Coturnix japonica: one gene and its partners. The protein of the gene in region 3 interacts with the protein of the main gene of each other region in a pairwise test. Links are inferred from orthologs where the notes say so. Each region holds a gene or a part of one and is shown on either strand. Other genes may lie near its edges. The genes, in order: PAK2, WASL and RHOJ.

Region 1 (3,646 bases), on a different chromosome or scaffold from region 3:
TAGTGGTGCCTAACTGGGTTTTGTATTTACAGTTCAGCAGAAACGGGAGACAATTTGCAGGGAATGGGGAAAAAAATATCCCCAAAGCAAACCTTGTGCATTGTAAAATATCTGAATGTAATTCTCTGTGGGTTGGATTGTGTATATGGTCCCTCTCATTATCTGCTTGTGGTGTTTCTTAGATTTGCTTTCTTGTCATTAATTGGTCTGAGGCCATCAGTTTTTATCTTCACTGAGGAAGGTATAGTTTGCATTAATTACCTTGAATTGAAGCAGTGAGACAACCAGGTTTTTAACTGTCTTTAGGGTGAACTTGAGATTTCAGTTTCCTTCAGCGCTGTTTTAAATCCATGTGAAAATGGTGTTTTTTTCCTTTGTGAATGTTTCACGTGTTCCAGAGCTCCTTGTGCTCTGGGGCTCATAATCCTGCCACAGCACAGTGATTGGAGTGAAAGGAGTTGGTGGTTGTTACGTGAAGTCTCTGCTTGAAGATATCAAAGTCCTGTACTGTGTGTGTAAACTCTGCCATCCAGCAAAAAGAGTAACAGTTGCATTTGTCTCAATCCTTTTACTTGGATTTCTTACATGAAATGGTGACAGTGGGACTTTAAATCATTACTCAATAGATCTCTCCTTGTATTTTCAGGAAGCAAGAAGAAGGAAAAGGAACGACCAGAAATCTCCCCGCCGTCAGACTTTGAGCATACTATCCACGTTGGCTTTGATGCTGTCACTGGAGAGTTCACTGTAAGTCGCTGGGAAGGCAGCTGTGGGTCAGTGCTACAGAGAACATAGTGGTATTTTAGAAGGAAGAGTTAATCTCTTTGTTCTCATCGAAGAAATAATTACGCTGTGTATTTATAAAGCACACAAAATAATGAGACTGACCTGTTGGTGTTTCTGCAATGTCAGGATCACATCCAGTGCTTTGTTACCTGGGAGAGCCTTCCTTAGGAAATGCTGCAAGGAGGGAAACCTCCCTTTTCAGTTCACTTTCAATAGTTTGTAATCCTGGTGCTGTTGAGTGCTTCTGTGTTCCCATTCATCCTGACAGACTGAATATGACTGAAAGGCACTGTGGGCTGGAGCCCCTGAGTGCTTGGGATGCTGAGGCATCTGGGGCTGTTTCAGCTGTGACTCTGTTTCATCACCTTTATAAGTCTCTATCACACATTTTGGTGTGCTTAAGGCCGTACATGTTATGCTTTGCTTGGAGGAAAGAAGATTGTTCTGTTTTTTAAATGGCTTTTCATTTCAGGGAATGCCAGAGCAATGGGCTCGGTTGCTACAGACCTCAAATATCACCAAGTTAGAACAGAAGAAAAACCCTCAGGCGGTACTAGATGTGCTGAAGTTCTACGACTCCAAAGACACAGCAAAACAGAAATATCTGAGCTTTTCTGCTCCAGGTGAGATGCACGCGTGCACAGAGCATACTGAAAGGGGAATTGGCTGTTCCTCTTTGTGAACTGAAAATGAGATTGAAAAGCTGAAAGAGCATCCTATTTTTCAATAAGAAACAAACATTTGAAGATGGATTTAAAACTTACTGGAAACTGTCTTGGTCCAGTAAATTTCCCACTTTAAGTGGAAAGAGAAAGAAATGGAACTGGATAATTCAAAATAACAGCCAAAAATAAGCACAGCCCATTAAAAAGCTGGGGATATGTGACTGATCAGCTGGTTTCATAGTGGAGAACTTGCTCCTCTGGTTTGTGATTGAACTGTGTGTCTAGATGCTTGTTATCTGTGAACTTACCTGTTTCTATTACCCACATGATGACACCAAAGATGCAAAATAAGTCATTGCTCTAGGACAGGAGCCACGTGATGGGGCTAGGAGAGCGACTGTCCTACAAATGCACACAGTTCCTTTAATGCAGTTCCCTTCCAAATGACTCGCAGTCTGAAAATAGCTTAGTAATAAAGCTTTGTAATGTCCTCATCCTTGTCTCAAAATACAGCTCATGGAACACATGTATCAATTTAATCATTAATTCACATCTCAGTAAAACAAGGGTGGCGTGAGTGTGATGAGCAGTACTGAGTCTAGAAAACTGTGCAGGTGAGGTAAAGAGCAAGTGGGGAAACAAATAGTGCTGTCTACTTTAGAAACTTCCTTCTGCATGGAGATAGGGTGCAGCACTGGTTTCTTTCATTTGTTACTGTCTGATTTCTGAGAGATGAAGGAATCTGTGAACAATCCTTGTTCTTTGTGCTGTTTACTTTCCATTATAATTATTTTTTTTCTGAGGATTTTGTCTTTTTCATTCTTTCCTATTTAGAAAAAGATGGATTCCCTTCAGGAACACCAACGGTGAGTGAGTTTACTTTACTTTGTCTCTTCTTAACCACATATTATTTCAGGTCTCCTGTATTTGCTAAATACCAAATCTTAAATAAATTATAATAGGTTACTTTTACCAATCAGCCTATGCTTTTCTTTTACATGAGTAAGAATAGCCTTATATTTTATAGGAGAACAAAAAAAAAAAAAGAAACCCAAACAAAATACAAATATTTAACACTGCGGGGGAAACAATTTTTTGTGTTTATATTTGTGTTTTTTTAAACTTTGGGAAAAAAACGTAGACCAATGCCAAAGGTTCAGAGCCATCAACAGCTGTGGCAGATGATGATGACGACGATGAAGAAGCACCTCCTCCTATTATTGCTCCGCGGCCAGATCACACAAAATCGGTGAGCAGCTATAAAGTTTATGGTGTTAAGCTTCATTTCACAGAGCTTTTGTTTTCTTTGGATTATCTTGAACCACCCATCTTGCTAAGTCTCAGGATTCCCTGATTCATTTGACCATGGTGGATGTACATACAGTTGCTCTGCTGTGTCTGCTTATTTTCACTCCAGGAGCACAGCAATGTGAGTTATCTCTACTCATCAATTGATACTGATTCTGCTTCACATAGACTGAAGCTTCATTTCTAATCTTCAACGATGAGAAAAGGCTGCAGTTTGGTAATGCTGCAGTAGTTGTTTGCAGCTGTGAACTTGTGTTATTTTTCAAATGCGTGGCTATTGAACAGCTCAGAAGGAAACAGAATAAAGCTCTAAGAAAATCCCTGGGACTGGTGACAACTGAGAAATTCATCTGAGAATGATGCTTTTCATGCTGAAGCACAAATCTTTTTTTTTTTTTGTCTTTTTAGGGGTAGTTGTCCTCTCTGTGCAATATTGATTCCTATTCTGTTAAAGGTGAAAATTGCAGCAGTGAAGTAAAAGGAAGGGCCCTTTCAACTATTTATCTAGCATGGATAGCAAGTAGAAAACCTAGAAATGTCTATCTGTGGCAGTTTATCCCCAAGCATCCATTCTGGGCAGAAAGAGTTTCCTTCTTTCTTTCAGAGGCCAGTTAGGCTTGTCAGCATCTTGTCTTACTGGAATGTAATGCCTAATTTCTGGCTCCAAGCTGTTAGGTAAAGTGGCACTTAAAGATCTTAAAAAATGTGTTTTCTACTGAAGGTCTGTGATTGTAAATGAGATGCACAATTTAAATGAGTGAATGTTCTCTCTTAAAAACAGATTTATACACGATCTGTAATTGACCCCATCCCTGCACCAGCTGGTGACGCTTCTGTTGATGGTGGGACAAAGTCAAGTGATAAGCAGAAAAAGAAGACCAAAATGT
Region 2 (4,099 bases), on a different chromosome or scaffold from region 3:
CTCTCAGTCTTCTCTTCTCTGGGCTGAAAAGTCCCTGATCTTTCAGCCTTCCATCACATGGGAGACGCTCCAAGCTCCTCATCATCTTCTCTCTCTAGAAGTTCCCTGTCATTCTTGAACTGAGGAGTCCAGAACTGGACACCACACTCCATTGGCCTCATCAGGGCAGAGAGGGAGGATCACCTCCTTCAGCCTGCTGGCCACACTTTCTAACACACACCAGAATCCCATTGGCGTTCACCTTTGTCCTCAAGAAGTGTGAGCACTACTTCCATACAGTCAAAGCCAGGCTGGGCACACAGCAGCTGAGCTCAGTGTCTTTGAGCTTCGAATGCCTTCAGCATTCGATACTGATGTGTGGGGTGAAGCAGGGCAATAGCTCTGCTGCCAACAGGCACTGCCTGCACACGGCATTTCTTCCCAGCATCTTCCCCCTGGGAGCTCACAGTTCCCAGCGCTGCTCGCAGTGTTTAACCTCCAGCTGCACGGAGGGCGATGGCTGACACCCACTCCGCCCCCCGTTTGACTGTGCAAAGAGAGGGAATTGCTTCTGTACAGCAAGAACGCATCATTAACCCCCAACGTAACACAGCATGCGGTAATGCAATTGATTATTTGCATGGTGAGGCACAAGGAGACATTCTCCTTCCAATGACAAAAGGTCACAAAGGTTTTTGAGTTACAAATTAAACCATGCTTCACTCTAAACTGGTCAGGAGCTCAGCTCTCGAGGTGCTGCACTGCATGAAGCCGGGCTGCCCCGAGTCGCCACTGTACTGTGGAACTTCACCTAACATTACTGCCGTTTGCTGACAGCTCCTAGCAGAGACCTCCTTTCTCAAGTGAATGCACGGAGGCCCCGTTAGTGCTTTCAGACCCGAGAGCTTTTCAATCAGCGAAGGGCCCGGCCGGCTGCCCCCGCGGCCTCATGAGCACTGCATCCCACGGTGCCCCTATCTCATTCCTCGCTCCTTCTCCCTCCTCCTCCCGTCGCACTCCCCGCCCCGCAGCAGCCGCCCGGCCGGCCGTGCAGGTATTGCGGGCAGGTATTGCGGGCAGGTATTGCAGGCTGGTATTGCGGGCAGGGCAGTGCGGGCGGCGCTCCCCGGCAGCTGGCGGGGCGAGGAGGGGCCGGATCGGAAGGCGGCGTTGTCCCGCACGGCGCATGGTCGCGGCGGCGGCGCTCTCTCGCTCTCTCTCTCTCTCACGGCCTCCCCTCTGGCTGCCGCGCTCTGTGGTCTCGCCCGCCCCCGCTGCCATGTTGGATTGTGCGGCCGCCGGAGCCGGGCCGAAGTTGGAAGTTTAGTGCCGCTCGGAGGGGCGGGAGCCATCGGCTGCGGCGCGGAGCTGCCTCCTGCTCGGTGCCCCCCTCCGCGGGCCGCTTTCCGGGCCCCCCTACCCCTCCGCCTCCCTCCTTCCCCGGCCTCGAGAGGGAGGCTCCGCGATGCGGCTGCTGTGAGTGAGGCCGCCGCGGAGGAGGAGGAGGAGGAGGAGGAGTAGGGGGCCGCGGGCTCCAACGGTCGCAGGGCAGCGCCGTGCCGGCCCGGCCATGAGCGGCGCCCCGCAGCAGGCCCCGCAGCCGCGGCGGGTCACCAACGTCGGCTCGCTGCTGCTCACCCCGCAGGAGAACGAGAGCCTCTTCAGCTTCCTCGGCAAGAAATGCGTGGTGAGTGCCGTGTCGAGCCGAGGGGCGGCGGCGCTGCCCGGCCCCGGCCCTTCCCACCCCGCGCGCGGAGGGCCGGGGCCGCGTGAGGACGGCGGAGGGTTGCGGCCGGGCGCTGCTCTCCTCCCTCCCTGCCCCGTTCCGTCCCTGCCCCGTACGCGGCTCTCGCACGGAACTTTGTCCGGCCCGGCCTGGCTCTCTGCCCGGTTGGGGGCTTGGCGGCAGGGCCCGGCCTCTGCCCGGAGCGTAGGGGACGCAATGAATGGCGGCGGGACCGTTCGCTCGAACCCTCGGGCCGGCCTCACCTCTCCGCAGGGCGCGCGATGGGGGCTCCGAGCCGCCTGGGCCGGGGCTGCGGGTGTTGCGAGGAGCCGAGCTCCGCTCACCCCTCACACCGAGGGGAAGCTTGTTGGGGCGGCATGGGGGCTCTACACGGCCCCGGGTGCACCTGCGGCACGACAAAGCGGTGGAAGGCCCGTGTCCGCACCGGGCCTGCCCTGCCCCGTACTTAGTCCGTGTGCTCAGGTGCTGCGCCTCCAGCTCTAGGCTCAAAATAAATCAATAGTCATAAGGCAACACAGCAATCTAAGCAGAAAAACCTTCTGGTGAATGCGTTCCCAAGTATGTCACTGAGTTCTGCATTTTTGGAATACCCTCTTGCATTTTAATGTAGAGTTGTACTCATCTGCGTTTATAAAACAGCGACAGAAACTGCTTGAAGCCTTTAAAAGTTAGCTGCAAGTTTTAGGAGAAGTACAGCTCATCTTAAACTTTCTGTATTTTTTGAATAAATGCTCCTCTTTTACTTTCTGTTTTTCAAATGGCCACTTGAAGCCATTCAGAACTGTGACCTGAATGTCTTCTGATGCTTTGTGTGCAGTGCTGGGTTACTAATACAGGCACCCTGATGTCCTGCTGTCATGCAGTGACAGGTACGTCATGAGCATGAGCTCGTGTCTCAGAGCAGGATATCAGCACGGCCGCAATGCTTCTGCATAACTCTGGACTTTGAAATGGTGTTGTTGATCGAACTGACTCCTGTAGGAGATGCAGTAGCTGAGCAGGAAGTAGGCGATGCTGACGTTGGGTGAGTTAAATAGGATGTTGTCGTAGTAATTACACTGGAATGGGTCAGAAGATGTGATCGTGAAACACATCAAGAGGGGCTTTGTTTTGGAAAGCAATAAATCTGTAAGAAATCTGTAATCAAGCTGTTTTTCAGGCACACATTTCATGTGTTAAATTCCTTTGCAGAATAGTAATAATAATAAAATAGTAAAACTCTAAATTACAAAAGCACATGAATTTGTGTGAGTTTGTTTTTCTACAACTCAGAATTTCTTGTCAATGGAATGCGTTATGCTCAGCTTTAACACTCACCTACTCAAGTTCTCAACTTTCTGCATAAATAGCACTTAAGGCAGACTTATATCAGCATAGTACCTGGGTGATGTGATCTGTGGCGTGTTGATAGCTTTGTAGATGTGACTCTCTTCATGTTTTACTTGAATTTATGCATCCTTAAGGCTTCCACTGAATTTTGGATGACATTCCAGTTAAAGCTTTCCTGATTGTCCCAGCCACTTCCCTTTTGTCCCTTGTCCCATGTAGTCTCCAGGTTAAGCATAGGCTCATGTTGTAGTTGGTCTCTGCTGTATCCTTGAGGGCTCGAGTCCAGAAGCTCCAGAGATCACAGAATCACAGAATGACCCGGGTTGGAAGGGACCTCAAGGATCATGTAGTTCCAACCCCCCTGCCTGGCAGGGCCACCAAACATACACCTTTACTAGATCAGGTTGCCCAGGGCCCCGTCCAACCTGACCTTGAACACCTCCAAGGACGGGGCATCCACAACCTCCCTGGGCAGCCTGTTCCAGGGCCTAACCACTCTCCTAGTGAAGAACTTCCCCCTAACATCCAACCTAAATCTTCCCTCTTTAACTTAAAACCATTTCCCCGTGTCCTGCTATTGTCAGCCCTTTCAAAGAGATAAACCAGACTTGTTGGGCTGAGCCAAAAAGGTGGCAGTAGGGAAACTGATTCATGAGCAAATCTAGTCTCTCTGTCACAGGGATGGCAGCCTCTATCAGAACAGTGAAATGGGCACGGGGGATGGTCTCTGCTATCGGGTTTGAATCCAGAATGTCGGATCAGAGTCTAATGGCACTCCTGGCACTATCGACCTTCTGACTTGACTGTAACTCAGTGTTAGCATGCTGTGCTGATGAGTGCCATCTTGCTGTAATACACGTGTTATTTGATCTCTTAATATCCATGCCTGAATTATTCATGAGCAAAACTTAATAAATGGTAGGGGAGGAACAATATTGCAAGTTTCTTAGGATGCTACAAGTTCGCTTTCGCACAGGCTGGTCCATCTGTGTTCCCAGACTGCTGCAGGTGGTGCTTCTGCTGGTTCAGGGCATGGGTTTGATG
Region 3 (4,386 bases):
AACAGTATTTACATGCTCATGGATCTAGCAAACTTACCCAATAAGGCTGGTGGGTTGGTAGAAAAGGCCATGTGATACTTAAATGGGTACAAGCCTGGAGTCTGCCCCAGCTACGATTAGAAGCTAAAAGAATGACAGCCTTTAATTCCTAATACCCCCTGAGAGTGCCTGGACTCTGTGTGCCCAGGACTCACAGGTTTTATTGGGTAAATTTCTGATGTTGACTGTAGTTTTGAAGTTAAAAGGATGGCACCTGAACTCCTAACTGGAGGAAAGCTTGCAGTGATGACCTGAGACAGTGGGTGCAATGCTGGGTCTAAAGCTCAGATCCCTGTTGTCAACAGAGGATGGAAAAGCTTATGACCATGGGACACATTGCATAGATTAGTGAATGACTGATACACACCTGATAACAGAAGGATAACTGAGAAAAAAGACAAATATTGTTCACCTTATTCACCGTTTTCATCCATCGACCACCTCTAGGGAAGGTGCTGAGAGCCTGTTCCATCGTACGGCTGGGTCCTTACAGAGCTCTGGCAGCACTGCAGATGTGGTGCTAAGGAGATTCATTACTAAAGTTACACTGGTTTTTACACTTCCAGGTGTGCATGGCCCAGAGGCTGTGTGAGCTTTTGAGCATTTCACGTGCAAGGCAGGAAGAGAGGAGCCTTTAGCACTGATGAGCTTCCCCTAAAAACCCAGTGGGTGTTGTTTCCCACTTTCAAAGCCTTTTAAGCTTATGGAAGGGAAATGTAGCCAGCAGGATGTGCTGAGCTACTGGGCTGGGGTTTATGTTGATGTCTGGCTCGTTTCTGCAGGAAAATGCAAAATCTTTCTTGTGGAAGGAACAGGGAGTTTGGCCCTTCATCTTGCCCATGTATAGACTGCTATATATTTAAACTGAGAGAAGCCAGGAGGCACATGAGAGACCAGAACAAAACTTAGATGAGGGGGCAGGGATCATGAAGTTCAAAGCTGTTTTTCCACATACCACTATGGGAATTTTGTATATACATACATATAAACACACTCTTATTTTTATTTTTTTTTTTTCTCCTCTCTGTGCTTATGCAGTAGGGGTAAATAAAATGACTTGGTTTTTTTTTTTTGAGTGGATGAGGGGGAAAACCAGGTGTACATTCTGAGTGTCTGACTAACCAGTAATTAGTTATTGCAAACCAAGTTTTGTTGTTGTTGTTGTTTTAAGAGCTATAAGAACAGAGCAAATTCACATTAAACTCTCCTTACTTGTTCCCACATCCCCTCCTGTCTCCCACGTGTAAGAAAACACCGATATGGGATCAGTGGGGATTATGCCCAGGACACTGCTGGGGTAGCACATGGCTCCCAGAATTACCATGCCCCCCATGGTCCCAATGCCTCTCTGAAATCCTCCCCATCCAAATCAGTGCCAGCAGCCCTGAGTGCAGCCCGGGCACGGGATGGAGCAGGAAGCCTAAAAACTTCAGTCTGCAGAGAGACCTCTAGTGTTATTCTTTCTCCACGTCCTGGCAGAGTTCCTCCAAAGTACAAATACACACAGAGCTCCCATTGTTTGCAGCCCTTCACAAGCCCACTGATCCTAATATGGAATTCAGCAGGAAACCCATGATTTCCTGACACACAGCAAGCTGGAGAAAGAAAGGAAAAACTCCATTAAAAACCTCCAGGCTCTCCTCCATGTTAGAAATGAGATGGAAAATGGAGTGGATTTAACAGGAATCCCCGATTCCTGCGGCCAGGCGGGAGGAAGGCAGACACGAATCCAAGCCGCAGGCTGCTGATACTTTTTAAGTTGCAATAAGTACGGAGAACTGTGGGGCAGGATGAGGATTTCCTGACTCGGACGGACAAGAAAGGACAGATTGCTTTTTCACGATACTCCTCTCCATGAATTTAATCTATTCACCTCAATGATTCTCTGGACTGCTCTGGTAATTGTTAGAAGCAGCTGTGACAGCCTGGAAACATTAGTATGATTTCCTGAGCTTGAGTTCTACCCCCCCCTCCTCTCCCTCCCCTTCCCCAACTACTCCAAACTCAGGAAAAGTCCATACAATCGCACTTCATTTCTCCTTCATGTGCACTTGGAAGCCTCGGGAGCAGCAGGAGCAGCGGCAACAGACGCAAGGATGAGCTGCAAGGCAGAAGGTGACAACTGCACGGATGGAAGCAGCAACAGCACCAAGAAGATGTTAAAATGCGTGGTGGTTGGGGACGGGGCCGTGGGGAAAACCTGTTTGCTGATGAGCTACGCCAATGATGCCTTCCCCGAGGAGTATGTGCCCACCGTGTTTGATCACTATGCAGGTAAGCATGAGCTTTAAAAATACTTAATCGAGAGTCAGGTGGGAGGTGAAAGAGGATCAAGGATTGGAGAGGGTGGTTTGAAGGCAATGCACGGGTTACTGCTCTTGAAGGAGTGTGATTCAGACCTGGATGGTGGCCAGAGGGCTTAGATGGCAGTTCATACACTTGGGGCAACGTGGGATTTACTCAGAGAACTTGCTTGCTTCTGATTTTTAGTAAATAAGCAACGTTAGAGACACACTGGATTTTCAGGAAAACAAACAGAATTCAGCCAGTCAGATTATACTCAGCTGCTTTGTTTGTTGTTGTATTTTTTATAAAACTCCTGAAGTCCTGAACTTTGAAGGCTGAAAGCGGTGACAATTATATTTATGCATGTATACATTAAAAGCATAGAATCATTAAGGTTGGAAAAGATCTCTAAGCTCATCTATTCCAATCATGCACCTACTACCAATATTGCTCACTAAACCATGCCCCAAGGTACTACATATACACCATCTGCCATGAAGCAAAAAGGGTATAAGTTATAATATTTATATCCTATTTAGGGAGTGATCTCTAAGAACAGCAGCACATCTCTGAGTGCTGTCAAAATGTAATTCTCCTTTCAGAGCCATTTGTTGCTCTGTCTATAAATAGAATTTAATGCTATGACTTGGAGGTGGGGGAAGCAGAAGGGGTGATTTGTTTGAGTGCTTTATAGGGAAGGAGTTTTTCTTTTTTTTGTTAATTAAATGAAAATACAGATCTAACAAAGATCATAGATGACGTTCACTACATCATTGTGCAAAACAGACCAAGTACCACATTCACAGGCCTCTGTCCTTAGCAATTACTTTACCCAGCTGTGTCCAAAGTTACCACCCAGATGGTGTGACAGCCTAAAATCGTTGCTCAAACTACTGCTTAAAATTCCCTATCCCAGATCCTGCTGTTTTTCTTATCTCCCTGCTCCTTTGGCTTATAGTTGTTGTTTTTAAGATCTCCTCCAAGAACGGATTTTAGCACTGTGAAACTTGTGGCTTTTTGTGCAGCAGCTGCTGGAGTTTCCTTCATTCTCTCTCCACCTCCTTAAAAACTGAATTTTCATGGCGTGGCTTATCATAGATTTGGTGTTCTGTAATGGGAAAATCTCTGTTTTCATTCTGGCTCCGTGTCAGGTTTAGCAGATGAACTGGCCAAACAAGAAAGCTGTGTAATTGCAGGATCTGATCCGTGGAAATGTGAAGACCTTTTTCTCCACAAGAGTGGGCAGTGTCACTTCTAATGCGAGCAATGCTCTCTTTTCTCTATTACTCCCTCCAGACAAATCAAAGAAACGTTCTAGAAAAAGCCTTTACCCTGAGGTGATATAAGGAAGAACACTTCACGGTGTAAATGAGCACTTCCACAAGGGAAAAGCCGCCGGCAAGACTGCATAGATTTATGTCCCACATTGTGATAACACCCACATACTTTCCCATGATAAACAGAGATCTGTTTGTCCCCTAAAGCTTTGCCATACAGCAGTTCACCACTCCCAGCACCCTCTGCAGTCTGCCAAGACCTGTAAATACCTCTGCATATGGAGAAACCCATATGACAGCTGGTCCCAGCCGATGACCTGTAAGTTAGGTGGCTTTGATATGAGCATGGGGGCTGTGTGCACATCCAAGTGTTGATGCCAGCCTGGGTGGGAGCGCCAGGCATGTCCCTATTTGGTAACTTGCCAGAACATACCTTGATTTTGTCTATTCTCTGTTAGAAATGGTAGGAATTGCCAAAGGGCTCAGAAATTGCTGAGAAAAGGACAGGCAGGTGGAGAGTGTCACTGCATAATTCTCCTTTCCTTTGGGTAACAGGTAAAGCATTCGGCTTTTAAATCAAGCTACATTTTCAGGCTTTGAAGATTTAGACCTCTAAAAGCTCTCCAGCTGCTCTTATTTGCCTTCTAAGCTGTGATAGCAAATAAACACAAGCTAAAAATGTTCTTGATAGCAAAGTTCAGAAAGATAAGAGAAAAAATAGCTCTGTGTATTAACATGCTATTCTGAGGCAAACCCTGTCCAGAGCCAATGGCCAAAATGTGCA

Evidence for each region.
Region 1: the proteins of RHOJ (region 3) and PAK2 interact in binary tests that used the Homo sapiens proteins (3 or more experiments, as listed by UniProt). The two-hybrid records come from large-scale screens. The link is inferred for Coturnix japonica from reciprocal best matches to the Homo sapiens genes RHOJ and PAK2.
Region 2: the proteins of RHOJ (region 3) and WASL interact in binary tests that used the Homo sapiens proteins (3 or more experiments, as listed by UniProt). The two-hybrid records come from large-scale screens. The link is inferred for Coturnix japonica from reciprocal best matches to the Homo sapiens genes RHOJ and WASL.

What each region holds. Positions count from the first base shown.
Region 1 is NC_029524.1:3,542,829-3,546,474, reverse strand, and holds part of PAK2 (serine/threonine-protein kinase PAK 2), read left to right. Parts: intron 1-646; coding exon 647-747; intron 748-1,258; coding exon 1,259-1,409; intron 1,410-2,285; coding exon 2,286-2,317; intron 2,318-2,592; coding exon 2,593-2,700; intron 2,701-3,540; coding exon 3,541-3,646. UniProt on the Homo sapiens protein: Serine/threonine protein kinase that plays a role in a variety of different signaling pathways including cytoskeleton regulation, cell motility, cell cycle progression, apoptosis or proliferation.
Region 2 is NC_029516.1:20,092,268-20,096,366, reverse strand, and holds the start of WASL (neural Wiskott-Aldrich syndrome protein), read left to right. Parts: upstream 1-1,185; 5' UTR 1,186-1,549; coding exon 1,550-1,666; intron 1,667-4,099. UniProt on the Homo sapiens protein: Regulates actin polymerization by stimulating the actin-nucleating activity of the Arp2/3 complex. Involved in various processes, such as mitosis and cytokinesis, via its role in the regulation of actin polymerization.
Region 3 is NC_029520.1:48,610,069-48,614,454, reverse strand, and holds the start of RHOJ (rho-related GTP-binding protein RhoJ), read left to right. Parts: upstream 1-1,517; 5' UTR 1,518-1,937; intron 1,938-2,097; 5' UTR 2,098-2,135; coding exon 2,136-2,313; intron 2,314-4,386.